2 linked regions of the Tamandua tetradactyla genome follow. The protein of the gene in region 2 binds, or shares a complex with, the protein of the main gene of each other region. Links are inferred from orthologs where the notes say so. Each region holds a gene or a part of one and is shown on either strand. Other genes may lie near its edges.

Region 1 (7,505 bases), on a different chromosome or scaffold from region 2:
TATGTGATAGACATTAGCCTTCAGTCTTTTATGCTGAAGATATTTTTCTACTTCTGTTTATTGCTTCTTAACTTTGTTTATGGTATCTTTTGCCACAGTAAAATTTTTAATTTTTTTATAGTCAAATATGTCTCTCTTCTCTTTTACAGCTTCTGGGGTTCTAGTCTTGGTTAAGAAGGTCACCCCCACCCTCAGATTGTACATGTAGTCTCCTAGATTCTCTTGCAGGATTTGTATGGTTTTAATTTTTGCATTTAAGTCTTTGTATACTGTTTTAAGATAGGCATCCAATTTTATTTTCTCTCAGATGTATGCTAATTATGCCAGCACCATCTGAAATGCTCCATCTTTTACCCCCAGAATTGAACTACCACATTTATCACATATTGAATTCTCGTATTTAATAGTTATTAAAAATGTTGAAAGCCCAAAAAGAGGATTAGTACCAGTATACCCGTTATTAGTCACAGTTCTCTGTCCTGCCTGTTGGCAGTGGGTTGAATCACCAGGCCTCTGGAGGCCCCTTTCACCTTATAACTGCTTCCCTTGCAGGTGCTGCTAGCCGAGGAAGGGATAGCCCCTCTTCCCACTGCAGGACCAGTGAAAGAGGAGAAAGTCCTGCCTGGAGAAGGGCTGTCTCCTTTGCTTCCAGTCCAGTCCATCAAGGAGGAAGAGATTCAGCCTGGGGAGGAAACGCCGCACTTGGCGCGACCCATCAAAGTGGAAAGCCCCCCCTTGGAAGAGTGGCCCTCCCCATCCCCATCCTTCAAAGAGGAGTCATCTCACTCCTGGGACGATTCATCCCACTCTCCCACTCCAAGGTCTAAGAAGTGCTATAGCGGGCTCAAGTCCCCAGCCCGGTGTGTCTCTGAAATGCTAGTGATTAAGCGAAGGGAGAGAAGGGAGATGAGCCGTTCCCGAAGGAAACAGCACCTGCAGTCTCCCTGTCTGGATGAGCCCGAGCTGCTCTACTCAGAGGGTCCCAGCACTTCCCGGCGAGCCCCAGAGCTCCCTTTCCTAGCAGATTCCTCTGAGCCTGCCTGCCAGCTTGGCTACTCCCAGGAAGAAGGAGGACCTTTTAAGACCCCTATTAAGGAGACACTGCCTATCTCCTCCACCCCGAGCAAGTCTGTCCTCCCCATAACCCCTGAATCCTGGAAGCTCACACCTCCCACCAAAGTGGAGGGCCTAGATTTCAGCCCAGTACGAACCCCCCGGGGTGCTTTTGCCCCCCTGCCTGACTCCCTAGGGCTGATGGAACTCAGCACCACCCCACTGAAAAGTATCCCCCTTTTCGATTTACCCCGAGAGTTCCTCAACTCGGAGCCCTTTGACCTCCCCTCTGACCCTTTTAGCAACTGCCCCCCCTCAGATATGGAAGTCCCCAAGTCAGGCTCTCCCGAGCCACAGGTCCCTGGCCCTTCAGCCAATCGCTCTCTGACAGAAGGCCTGGTTCTGGACACAATGAATGATAGTCTCAGCAAGATCCTACTGGACATCAGCTTCCCCGGCCTGGAGGAAGACCCATTGGGCCCTGACAACATCAACTGGTCTCAGTTCATTCCTGAGCTACGGTAGAAAGCCGGCCTTGCCCTCGCTGCTTAAGCTGTCCACTACTTTGGAGCATTTGTGTGCTGGGCAGGCCAAAGTTCCTGGACCCCAACCCCTCCATGAGAACACCAGTCAGGGACCGTCTGCTCTTCTGAGCTCCCCCTCTCCCGGTTGTGTCAAGGCAGCAGTCTGTGACTTAGCTGCCACTGGCACCTCTGTAAGCAGCAAGGCCCTGGAAACTGGTCTCTGTGCTACCTTAGGCTTCCCCCCAAAATCTGATACCTCTGCACCCTACCAGGAACGGAAGCATGGGAACAGCAAAAACAAGGTGGAAAGAGATTAGGAACTTCCCAACTGCTTCTGTTTTGTGTCCAGCAGTCTCTCACTGTCCCTGCTCCCTCAGGGGTGGCCCTTGTAAATAGTGTATATTCTCAAAATTGCCCTCTAATTATAAATGTAAACTTATTTCCTTAGATCATTATCTAGGGACTGCTAGAAGGTGGGTATGGTGACAAGGGGGTTCAGTTTGCATCTGTCCTTGTTTCTAGTTCCTAAAGAAGACAAGACCAGCAGTGCAGTTTCTTCCAGGTCCCACGTATTTAGCTCAAAAGTCTTCACTGTAGGCAACCAGACAAAGACATCTCCTTGCCCATATTCCTTTTATTGCCTCTTCCTCCCACTTTCCCATGTTTCCAAGTCATCTTTCCTGCAAGAAGAAATAGATGCATCTGAAGGAAAGAATGTGTGTCCAGATGAACCCCCTTTAGATGTGTCTCTGATAGTGTCCCTAATCATGCCGGGGAGATGAGCATCGATGAGAACTCGGCCAGAGGCCTGAGAGGGCTGACAGGGCCCCTGACCTGCCTGGCTTCCTTAGCGTGCACCTCAGCTTTGCAAAGAGCCACCTTAGGCCCCAGCTGACCATGTGCACACCAGGCAGCTCAAGAACACTACTGTAACCCCCTATCCAATAAAATCCAGAGTGGAAATGATGGTCTCTGTGGTGTGTTGGTGCCTGGTTCCTAAGGCATAAAAAGGCTTGGAAAAGAAAGGATATGATGATGGTAACAGGGAGAGCAGGGTCTGAGTTGACCTGAAGAAGTATCCAAGGGACTGAATACACACCCTTAAAACAGACATGGGCAGTTTTCCCCAGCTGGCCCTGCAAAGCCAGCTTATCGCCCTCATATCCAGCCTTGTTCTTTGGAACCTCTGTACCTGCTGATTAACTTGGGGCTTCCCAATAAGGAGACAGCCTAGGCCCTGGGAACACTGGGGAAGAGGGGACTTCCCTCTACCCCCACCCCAGGGCCTGGCAGCCAGCCCAACCTGCTTTTCTCGGGGCCCCCAGCCTTCCAAGGCAAGTCCCACCCCCTTCCCAGAAGCAGCTCCTGCCACCAGCTTTTGCAGACAGGATTTATAAAAGTCCCAGCCCCTGCCTGTCTCACCTGAAAGGCAGCTAGGGCTCCAAGGTACTGAAGAGCCCTCCCAGCGAGAGGGTAGGGCCTCCTCTCTGCGTCACTGCTCAGGAAGGATCACCATAGCAACTCCAGCAGCAAACAATGGAGCAAGAAAGAGCTTTCCTACAAAGCAGCCCCTCCTGGCTAGGAAGCACAGAAGAGGAATGGCCAGTTACCCAGGAAGATCTCCTAGAGGGCCGACTTATCCATCCAATGTCAGAGAACCTTTCCTGCAGGTAGGGGTGCAGACTCCCCAGCTAGGGACTGGCCCCCCTGCAGTGGATTCCCAGCCTACAAACTCTCCACTGTGCTGTCTGCCACTCCAGATCCTGTGATGCTGCACCACAGGTCACAGAGCTCAGAGCAGAGAAGAGGAGATGCCTGGGGTGGCCTTGTAGAAATAATTTAGGGGTCTGGGCCCAAGAAATAGGTGAAATTTTTAACCAGAAAAGCCCTTGGGGTGGAGAGGAAGGAGGGGCTTTTTAAAAGAGACATTTCTAAGCTCCAGCCACGGGGCCAGGCGCTATGCCAAGCCCCCTTCATATGGCTCAGCATCATGAGCAGGGAAACAGGCTGGGTCCAAATCCCAGCTCTGCCACTCATTCTCTCAGCGCCTTGGGTGAGTTACTTACCCTCCTGTGCCTTGCTTTTTGCAACTTTAAAATGGGGATAATAACAATACATAGGGTTGTGAGAATTAAATGAGAGGTGGATAAGTATTTAGCAGAGTGCCAATTCATATTTGCTACTATTTGTTTCACAGCAGGTAGGAGTCTCAGAAAAGAGAATCAATTAACATTCTAGGTGCTTTGTTATTTGCTCTTACTTTAATGAGAAGGGTGAGAAAGCACCAATGGTGGAGAAATGAGAAGTAAGAGGAGTAGAGGACAGAAAAAAACAGTGGGCTCTTTGCTCTGGAGAAGGCGGGCTTCTATACCTGACCGGAGAGGGGAGGCATTTTCCCTTATCATTTCCTCAGGGCCTTTTATTAGGAGCCCCAGTTCCTGGGAAGAAAACTGGGGGCCCTAGAATGTAAAGGATGGGAGAAAGTTAAAAGTGAAGGGTGGGGAAATGTAAGATGAGGAAGGAGGGTGGGAAATCATATGAGTACTCATATGAGTAATACAGAACAGTCATGACTTCTGTGGGCAGGACAGTGGAGAGAAATGGTGCCCTGCCAAGCCATCATTCTCACCCTGGGGTTGGAGGAGGCTGGCACCTTGTGCTGGGAGGCTCTGTGCCCACCCACCCCCACCAACACCCCTCCAGCGGTCCCCAGGATCCCTCTTGTCTCTCCCCAGATGGTCCATGCCTCTGAGTCCCAACCGACCAACCATACCTGGGCCCAGCGTGAATTCCTCCTCCCCAGTGAGCCCTGGAAGTTGCCCGGCTTCACGCGGCAAGCGTACCATCAACTGGCCCTGAAGCTGCCACCCTGCACAGAAGCAAAGTCCAAGGTCCGCCACCGACTAAACCACCCTTGGACGGACACAGCCAAGCACACGTGGGGCTTTCACACATGGCTCGATGTGGGCCGTCTGCCAGCCACCTTCCCCTCGCGGCCCGACAGGCCCTACGATAGCAACATCTGGCGCTGGCTGACCAACGCCAGTACCCATCACCAGCCCCCAGCAGACCCCCCCATCCCACCTCCGTCCTGGATGGGCAAAAACAGCTTCCTGACCTTCATCTACTGTACTCCCATCTTCTTGGATGAGAACAGGAAGGACCAAGTGATCCACAGGACGGTGAAGGAGCTGAAGGAGGTGGAGAAGCTCAAGTTGAGAAGTGAAGCAAGAGCGCCTCCGCTGGACGCCAGGGGCAACATCCTGCCGCCAAGGAACTTCAAGAAGTAAGATGAGCTGAGCCCCTTCCTCGGAGCTCACCTAGTCACCTCATGTTCAGGTGACCCTCCCGCTCTCTGACTCTTTCCAACAGCTAGCTTGGTGCTCTCTCCTTCCCAACTCTCTTTTCTGAGCATAGCCAGAGAGACCAGGTAGAGGCAAGGGAAGGACACAAGTTGATCAGCTAAATTTGGGGGGAGTAGGGCGGAAACTAAATTTAATACCTGCTGGACACTGAGGTTACAGAGAAGCGTGGCTCAGTCCCTGCCTGGAAGGAGCTCACGAAAGGCGGTTGCTCACTGGGTGAAAAGACACATCCCTGCTCCAGGTCCCAGGTGTTGCGCCCCAAGGGTGCAGTGAGGCTGGGTGCCAGAATTAAGCCGGTTATCAAGGGGAAGAGCTTAGAACCGGAGTCAGAAGGACTGGATCAAAGTCCAGGCCGGACCACTTAGGGAAATCCCTCAGGTTCCATCATTGATAAAATGCAGATGATAAATACAGACCTCATGGGGTGAAGATAAAAATGTGTTAATCAGCATGTAAAAGTATTGACCCAAGCTGGATGTTGCTACATTCAGAAGTGGAAGGGATTGCTTGTGATTCCCCTGGGAGACTTCTTGAGGAAATTGGGAATAAGCCTGGGTCCGCGGTTGGGGGTGGGAGGAGATTAGCGCCCTCCAGGTTGGGTTGGTTGGTAAGAGCCGAGGCAGGAATGTGAAAGGAGCTGTTAGAGACCCTGCAGCCCCTCCCCTCCCTGCCTTACATGGGAATTCGTAGACATTCCCCTGCTGCATGCATCTAGTCGAGGTTCTGGGCACAAGCAGTGGGAAAGGGTGAGGAGAATAAAGATAGAACAACTCAAATTCCAATCCCAAAGGCATTAGCAGGAGGACCAAGGGATTGAAGGGGAAGGCAGTGTGGAGATTTTTAATAGGAAAAAAAATAGAAGAAGACATTTTAAGAGATCATTCAGGTTCCTAGTTTCTCTCTGCTGTCCTAGGTATCCAAAGCTGAATAAGATAGATCACTCCTCAGAAAAATTCAATCTAATAACAATTGCTAACCCTTACTAGCACTTACCACATGCCAGCTGCTGTTCTGAACACTTTAGGTCTGTTGTTTAATCCTCCCGTGACCCAATGGATAGAAACTTATCATCAACCCCATTTCACAGATGGGGCATCTGAAACACAGAGAGGTCAAGTATCCTGCCCAAGTTCACACAACCAGGAAGTGGCAGAGCTGGAACGTGAACCCAGAGAGTTCAGTTCCGGTGCCTCGGTCTTAACCTCTGTGCTCTAGTTTCCTCTTGTCTGTTCGGGGAATCAGACAAATTCACGGTTACTTCTAATGTCATGGGATAGTCTATAAAGGCAGCTTCAGAAAAATACAACTATCCACAAAAAGAACTTAGCACTCAATAAATGGCAGAAAGAGTATGGCCTCAGGAATCAGACAGATCTGGGTTGGAATCTGGTTCCATCACATCCTTGCCATATGGCCTTAAGTTTCTTAAGCTCATTGAGCCTCACTTTTCTCAAGTATGCATGGGAGAGTAGAGTACCTGGTACCTGCAGGGTGGTTAGAAGATTCAGTGACCAGGTGCCTGGCATGGAGAAGGGATTCAGATCCCACCAGTATTAGTGTGGCATCTCAATGAGAAGAGGGTCCTTGTCTTACTGGTTTACCACTATTGGCCCAGGCCCTGGAGCCGGGAATGAAGGAATGCATCTTAGACAAGATTTCGCTCTTCATGGACAAGGTAGTATTTGAACTGTATCTTGGAGGATCTGTATGAGTTCACCAGGTAAGTGAACTTTTTCTTCCATTCTTTAGCTATCCCCAATTTATCCAGATTCTAACTATCCTCCAGTCCCAACTTCTCAACTAAAGTAGCACCAGTGGGAAGAATCCTGCATTAGCTCAAGCATTTCTTCTTTTCATGGGTAAAACATAATGTTGCCCAAGGGCTCTTCCAGCCCTGACCTGCTGTGATCCTACACCTCTGATGATTTCACAAGAAAAGGGATAAAAGGAAAGACCCATCCTTCATGTTATTCCTTTTGAGCCAGTCTAGAAGGGATTAAAATGGTCTGGATCATTCAACAGACTCAGAGGATTTCAAATGTATGACTTGGTCTAAGCTTTAGGATGCTTAGATTCTCAACCCTGGTAGTACGTTAGAATCACCTGGCACTCGTTTTAAAAATGCTGATATTTGAGCCCCATGCAGGAGATTCTAATTTGATTAGAGTAGGGCACAGCCTGGTCATTGGTGTTTTTAAAGATCTCTGAATGTGGTTCTAACGTGCAGCCAGGGCCAAGGCTGTGAATCTGTGAATGAAGCCCACAACAGCAATATTTGCTGAACCAGTTACAAATCATGTTGAAACATAAGAAATTTGGACTACTCAACCATGTTTTATTTATTTATTTTTAAGTCCATTTCCTACTTTCCAAACTAATCCTAAAGACCTCAGAGAAGAGGAAATCATCAGAGAAGGTGTAGGATCACAGCAGGTCAGGGCTGGAAGAGCCCTTGGGCAACATTATGTTTTACCCATGAGAAGAAGGAATGCTTGAGCTAATGCAGGATTTTTCCCACTGGTGCTACTTTAGTTGAGAAGTTGGGACTGGAGGATAATTAGAA
Region 2 (7,448 bases):
GAAATCATTTGGGGATACAGACATAATGATTCATAATGCAGAATTAGGGATAAAAAGCCAACAAACTGAATACAGTAAACTGTGAGTCTATAGAACTGGTTTCTGTTTTTCTTTGCCACCAACTAGCTGTTTATTTCTGGACAGATTAGGGAAAAGAAGCAACCAAAACATATTTCACAAAGTTAAAGATATTTAAAACATGTTCAAGGTCTTCTTTTGGTCAATTCTGATTTGAAATCATTGAAAGCCTTGCAAATAAAAAAAAGATTAATAAGTATAGTAAAAAATAGCTCCTAGGTTTTCTCAGAACCAACACAAAAGTTAAATTCCTCAAACCAGCATAGGATGATGTGACAACATCTTCTTTGGAAAGTCCCTTTCAGGACACTTGATCCCAAAGAGCTAATTAAGCCCCTACTTAAGCACATCTAGTCCTATTAAAAATAAAGCCCCATTTATTTATTAAAAATAAAAACTCTAGGGCGGGCCACGGTGGCTCAGTAGGTAAGAGTGCTTGCCTGCCATGCCCAAGGACCAGGGTTCGATTCCCGTGCCTGCCCATGTTAAAAAAAATAATAATAAATAAAAATAATAAAAATAAAAACTCTATAAGACTAACAGGTTCCTGCTCCAAACCAACAAAGCCTAGCCATCTTCCTTCTTTCTGTTTATAAAACTACCCACAAACATCCCAGCCTTGAAATCGGTTTTGCTTTTTCAGACTAAAAGTTTCTTTGCTGCTGCAACAATCTTGGTATCCTGAATAAAATGCTGTAAACTGTAACTCAACTCCGAATTGTCTTACAAGATAACTATAAATATTTTTGAACATATGAAAGGAAATATAAATACGTTCTGTTAATATTGTAAAAGTTAGAATTGAGGCCATGATTATGACCAATTGAAAATGAACTAGCAATTTTTTAAAGAGATGTTTATATTCTAAATAACTTTCCTGCATTTCTCTGACCATTCTGTATAATACTTTTATGTTGCTATAACTATAATAAGATGGTTCACCTGGCATAGGACTTGATCCAAAAATAGATAAACAGTCTAAAAGGATGGTTAAATTAATTCGAAATGTAATAGACTCTTCATGAACTGTAAACTCTTGAAATATTTCAGCCTACAAAAAAAAAAACAAAAACCATGAAAATGTAGTTACATGTATTAATGACCTATAAATTTCTATATTTCACTTTATAAGCTTTAACAATATTGCACTAACACCATGAGACTCATTTCTGATTACTGATCAGCACATCCCACTTTCTTCAACCATAATCAGAATACCACTTCTCAAAGGTAAAGGTGCAGCAGGGATTTAGGCTCCATGCATACTTTATGAAGCATCCTTTCTGCAGCTTCCCGGATCGAAAACCATTCCCCTTTCATCTCCTTTTTGTGCTCATATGTACCACTAAGTTCACTTGGAAAATGGGACAACAATTTAATAATATATACATGATATTAGCTTTCGATTTTGGGGGAGAATAGGAACAACGTCTCATCTATCCCTCTATCCCTTAGGTCACTATGTGCTTGGCACTTAGTTGTTAAAAAATGCTAAATTGAATCTGAAATCCTATCTGGGCATACAAATATTACTTTATAAGAAAAAACAGATTCTATTACAATAAATAAAAAGAAAATCTTTTTTAGTAATAGGGAGGTTGTAATAATGTAGTGGTGAAGAGCATAAACATTCTGGGTTCTCAGGTCAATTCAGCCACTTACCACCTGTAGGACTGGGCCATATCACTTAAAACTCTCCGTGCCTCAAGTTCCACAAATGTAAAGTGGGAATAATATGGACTATTGTGAGAATTAAATGAGGTAAACATATAAAACAGAAGAGTTTCTAGCCTGTAGTTTACCTTAATAAATATTAGTCCTTATTATTAATCATTATCTCTATAAAACAAGATAGAAAAGGAATTTGTTTCCAGGAGGCAAATAAGCAAATAACCACATTTTGTTCTCAAATTTAAATTAGGTATATTAAGACCTTTGGAATTCATTAAACTGGGTCAAGGATATCATGTCACAGGCTGAAAGGTGCCTATGTCCATACCTGAATAAAAGCATTTGCTTGTACACACTTTGCATTTTCCACTGTAACCTTGAGTCCATTTTTAGTAGCAAAACATGTGGCATGTTCTCGGAAATGAATGGCTTTCAAGATGTTGGAGAGATTCCTCACATTGTCAAGGCTGGCCACTAAGCTGTACTGATCATTCTCAGCTTGGATCTGTGGCGTTAGGAGGGGCATCGTTCATAGCACACTCGGCTCCAGGGGATGCTTCTGGGGCCAACGCCCGCTCCTGCAGATAACGAAACACCGAAAGAAATTAGACGATAAAACACGCCATTAATGCTGGCGAGGTCCGGCAATATTGAATTGCGTGGAAATGGTGAGGCCAAGTGGAAAGGATCCGGGCTTTGAACTCGACCGGCCAGAGCGTGAACCCCACCTCTACCACCTGAGTGTCTCTTCACTTTGAGGCAAATTACTGGACCTCTCTAGGACAAGGTTCCTACGTCTTTCTATGGGTACAATAACTCCTACCTGAAAAGCTGTGAGAATGAGAATTGGCAACCGACACACAGTAGTCCTACTTGGAACCAGTTTCGCCAAAGTAAGTAGGGACTATGTATCTCCACTGGGTCTGTTTCGAGCTGTCCCGCGCCACCGACCCTGATGCTAACAGAACAAGCCATAGGGGCAGACAGACCCCGACTCCGCAGGAGGTCCTCGAAGATTTCCAGACAACCTCATTCATCAGCCCGCCCGCGGGAAAGCATCCGTTTCCTCATCCAGGAATCCCGGGGGTGGGAAACTCTACCTTTGAGCTGAGGCCTAAACGCCAGAGGGCTCTTCCCGGCCAGTTCACCCGGGAAGGGAGCTCCAATTCCAGGGAAATGGGGAGAAAGTGGAATCCCTCCCACCTCTCTCTTCAAACCTGCAAGCCGCCTCGGCCACCGTCACCACAGAGGCGGAGGACGGCTAGAGAGTCTAGAAGAAGGTACCGCACAGACCGGAATGAGTCACTACATTACCATAGAGATCGCACAGGGAGAGAGCGACAGAACCGGAAGGAAGGGAGAGAGCACAGTGTTAGGCAAGATGGCGGTGGTCAAGAGAAAACGGCGTGGAGGCATGGCAATCCAGGCCAAGAGGCCGAAAAGAAACGAAAAAGATGCCGAGTCGCCGGCTAAGCCACGAGACGTGGCAGAGGAGGTGGAGGATGAAGAGAAAGACCGTATCCCTGGCCCTGTTTGCAAGGTAGAAGGAATTACCCTCGGGTTGCACTTGCCGCGACTCCACGCGCCGTTCTGCTTCTGCTTACCTGTAAACGCTCGGTTTACTTAGAAGCAGCCCGTATTTAGTAGGACTCCGGTCTTCTCTTTGCTCCCGGCGGCGCTGGACGCTGCGTTTTGTCTAAGCTGCGTCCTCGTGGCCTCTCTTCGGGAGGCGGCGGGCTTTGGAGCACTTCCCGTGTCGCGGGGAAGCGACTTATCTCCCGTGTTCTGCCTTCTAATTACTCAGTTTTTTGGTAGGGGAGCACTTTTCTTTAGTTTATTTGTCGTTGAGTGTCTTTCTGTGGTTAATATGCTCATATTCTGCTCTACTCAGACACCATTAGGGATCTCGAAGCTTGTTTTGCGGTCCTTTAAAAAGTCTCTGTCCTTGAGACTGACTCGGACTTATCTCATCAAATCTTTAACTTTCAAGGGATCCTGAAAGCTAGACAAGATTGTATGAGCTTTGCCTCCATACAACAAACTTCTTGTGCCAGGCACAATTCGAAGATTATGTTCTCTTTGGTCTTGGGATTGCAAAGCTAACTAGTAAGCGACCTCTTCAACTGAGAACTTAGTACTGTCAAGACTAGTATTGCTTTTGGTTTGTTAATTTGACTCCTGCGTTTATGTAGTAACCTAGCATACAGTAGGTGATAAGTAGATGAAACAAATAGATGAACAATTGTTGAGTGTTTTGTGATGTAGTGGCAGGTTCTAGGAAAGGAGTGAACTATGAAGAATGAAAAATGAGCTTAAATTCTAGCCCAGTTCTTCATTAACTGACATTCTGAGCTCTTTATCTACAAATTAAGAGGAAGAAAATGTGAGTTACTTTTTGTGAAGAACAAGTTAAATTTTCAGTAAATGTTAGTGTCTTCACTTTTTCTTTAAGGAGCAGGAAAATGTAAGTTTCTGAGTCACAGCGTGATAAAGTCTTCGGAGGTGCAGGGGATAGAGATTACTTTTTCCCTGGGATAATTAGGTAAGGACTTAGCCTTTGAGTGGATCCCAAGGAAGGGTAAGATTTTGATATTCAAAGTGAGAGGGGACAGTACAAGGGAGAGCAATGTTGTTGAAGTTGGAAAATGCTGAAAATCTTAAAAGTAGAACCAAATTAGCTTGAGAGGTTGAATAGAAGGGCTCAGGATTGCTTGACTTGCTACCTGGAATTTTATACTCTCTCTGCTTTCCTTATCTATAGGAAATTACCTTTTCCATAGTTTGCTATTCTATTAGAAACAATTCTAACTATTGTTAGCATTTCATGCTCTTTCATACCTGCATGTCTTTATTAGTTTGTTTATTTAATATCTCCTATCTGTCTCACCTCCCTCCTCCATCCTGAAAGAACAGTTTTTGGCTCCTGGTAGGAATTTAGTAAATATTAAGTTAATATTTAAGTTCTGTTGTGCAAGAAATCTTGAATGAGGAGCCCATTTTTATTTCAGGGGTAGAGAGATTTTAAACTTGTATATACTCTATTGAGGTTTATATGTAGACATTACAGTCTTATTTTCTTGTATATTTCTATGTAATGAAATATCTCAGTTCCCGGAATTACTCACATGGGAGAAGAAGCAGAGTTATCACTCTGCCCTAGTCTTTTTTTGTTTTGTTTTGGGTTTTATTTTTTAATTTTTGGGGGGGTTTGTTCTGAGTTTTATTTTTTTATTTTAAAGATATTTTTATTGATACATCTTCACACACATATAGTCCTTAAATGGTGTGCAATCAAAGCCTCATAGTATCATCACATAGTTGTGTATTCATCACGATCGTATTTTAGAACATTTGCATCGCTCCAGAAAAAGAACAAGAAAAAAGAAAAAAACTCATGCTTCCTGTGCTTCCCCCCTTCCACTCTTTGACCACTAGTATTTCCATCTACCCAATTTATTTTACTCTTTATCCCCCTATTATTTATTTATTTTTTAATCTATATTTTTTTACTTATCTATCCATTCCCAGGATAAAAGGAGCATCAGACACAAGGTCCAGTCATGCAGTCACATTGTAAAAGTTATATATTTATACAATTCTCTTCAAGAGTCAAACTCTGCCTTAGTCTTGATACATTAAGGTGGTGCATTGTTGGAAAAACTAGATGCTTTTTAAAAACTATCTTTTAAAAAAAACCAAGGTAGGTGCTGTATGATATTTTAAAATCTTAACATTAGTTTTATTTTTCTTTAGGGCAAGTGGAAAAATAAGGAACGGATTCTCATCTTTTCTTCCAGAGGAATAAATTTCAGAACGAGACATTTAATGCAAGACTTAAGAATGCTGATGCCTCATTCTAAAGCAGGTGCGTTTATATTGCATGCTTTAAAATTTTCTACTTATAAACTGGCTCATTTGTGTAGTTTACGCAAAGTCACGCTTCATTTGTCCAATCTTGTCAAGTTAAGAACCACAGCACCTCAAATTCATCCTTTCAAATGCCAACTTTTTCCAATTAACATTTTGTTGGAAATTCTTTCTAGAACCCATTAGATCTTTTCTTCACTTTCTTAAACAGAATATCCTAACTTTATTGAAATATTTCTTCAAGGTCCAGGAATGTCTTCATTTTAATGCCCTCAGAGGTCCTGAAATACATAGGATGCTTTGTCCTTCTAAATGATTTAAGACTGTAATGTATTGCTTTCTGAGTTTTGTGGGGTTTTTTTCCTTTTTAAAGCCTGGGATAAGATTTTATGTACAGTTAAATTGGATTCAGCGTGCTTTTGAATACCAAACTAATGTTATTAGTAATGGGGAAGTGAAGAATGTCAGATCTCAAATTTAAAACTGTTGTAGTACTGTTATGGAGCTATTTCTGTGCTTTTATTGGTTGGTGCTTTTGGTTTTAATTCTATGTAATAATTTAGGTCTTTAGACCAGTTTCTCAAGCTCTGGGTCTACTGCTGTATTCTTAGATCTCTAAAACTAATAAGAGAAATTTTAATGTATACGTTTTCTTTTTCTGTGTTAATCTAAAATCAGTATTTTAAGATCAGCTTTCTTTGGTAATGATGATTCAGAATTGAAAGGTATTTTCATCGATAAAGTTTTTAAATTTCTCTAATGCTTTCTTGAACTAGGATCCTTAAACATATTCATTGGTTTATGGGACTTTTTCTGCTTATTGATTTTCTCTGTATTTAACAAAGAATGAAGATTTTTAAAAGAAGTCATGTGTTTTCAGGTCTTATCAGTTTGATGATAGTAAAATTTCTTTTAAATTAAAGAAGTAAAACACTTTTACCTTCTAGTTAGAATATGAGTTGATTGAAGTAGCTATGAAATCTTTTGTTTATTTGGCTTTTTTCTTTTTACAGATACTAAAATGGATCGTAAAGATAAATTATTTGTTATTAATGAGGTAATTTTAGAAAGTATTTACAATTAAATATTTTGGAAATACTAAAGATGGTTCATTTAAAACATGTCTGTTATTCAATTACTTTTAAATTGTCCTGTGAGAGATATTCAGGCATATTCTATTGACTCTTTGATAAATTCTCTTTTAAATTTTTAGAATGCTCACAGTTTAGACCTCACAAGTTTAGTTCTCCAGTATATATTCATATTTCTAGATCATTCCTATGTTTGTCTTGTCTTAAGTATATTAAAATTTGCTGCAGAAAAGGATTCTATCTCATTCTTTTATTTCTCCCATAATATCTAGTATAATTCTAAATTCATAGTAAGTACCCACAAAAACTATCAATCAACATACACATTTTTTTAAACATACTTAAACAGTATTGTTAGAGATACTAAACTTGTATTTTTTAAAGCAGTTTTTTCAAAATTTAAGAAAATTATGTTAAGATAATTCCAGCTATTAGAAAGTCTTATTTTATTCATTCATTTAAATGCACGAATATCCGAACTGCTGCTATGTGAAAGCATTATTCTAAGTACTGTGGAAATAGTATTTAATGAAACAAAGCACCTGTCATGAAGCTATTCTAATGGGGGAGACAGGCCATAAACACATACTATAACTTCAAGTAGAGATATAGAATATAAAGCAGGGTATTGGTTTGTGGCAACTGAGACTCAACTGGAAAGGCTTTTCTGAAGGGATATTCAACCTAATATTATAGCAGAGACTTAGTGAAGGAGAAACATAGTGGTAGAGCATTCTAGTA

What was found.
Region 1: the proteins of RAD1 (region 2) and RHNO1 are in contact, whole or in part, in a crystal structure (PDB 6J8Y), measured with the Homo sapiens proteins. The link is inferred for Tamandua tetradactyla from reciprocal best matches to the Homo sapiens genes RAD1 and RHNO1. Residues at the interface, in NP_002844.1 of Homo sapiens: Asn47, Gly48, Ile49, Lys50, Phe64, Ile65, Gln66, Ser149, Lys155, Ile157, Glu211, Ala212, Lys240, Val241, Ser242, Arg244, Gln254, Tyr255, Met256, Phe266, Glu268; in NP_001239428.1 of Homo sapiens: Ser55, Trp56, Val57, Ser58, Pro59, Asp60, Phe61, Asp62, Thr63.

What each region holds. Positions count from the first base shown.
Region 1 is NC_135333.1:65,007,228-65,014,732, reverse strand, and holds the start of RHNO1 (RAD9, HUS1, RAD1-interacting nuclear orphan protein 1), read right to left. Parts: upstream 3,019-7,505; 5' UTR 3,000-3,018; intron 2,544-2,999; exon of another isoform or gene 1,579-2,543; coding exon of another isoform or gene 553-1,578; intron 1-552. Other genes in the region: FOXM1 (forkhead box protein M1), read left to right, coding at 553-1,578; TEX52 (testis-expressed protein 52), read left to right, coding at 3,176-3,247, 4,313-4,863. UniProt on the Homo sapiens protein: Involved in microhomology-mediated end-joining (MMEJ) DNA repair by promoting recruitment of polymerase theta (POLQ) to DNA damage sites during mitosis.
Region 2 is NC_135335.1:84,403,548-84,410,995, forward strand, and holds the start of RAD1 (cell cycle checkpoint protein RAD1), read right to left. Parts: upstream 3,085-7,448; 5' UTR 2,967-3,084; exon of another isoform or gene 2,850-2,966; intron 2,328-2,849; 5' UTR 2,276-2,327; coding exon 2,078-2,275; intron 1,130-2,077; coding exon 1,021-1,129; intron 1-1,020. Other genes in the region: BRIX1 (ribosome biogenesis protein BRX1 homolog), read left to right, coding at 3,131-3,289, 5,503-5,614, 6,630-6,673. UniProt on the Homo sapiens protein: Component of the 9-1-1 cell-cycle checkpoint response complex that plays a major role in DNA repair. The 9-1-1 complex is recruited to DNA lesion upon damage by the RAD17-replication factor C (RFC) clamp loader complex.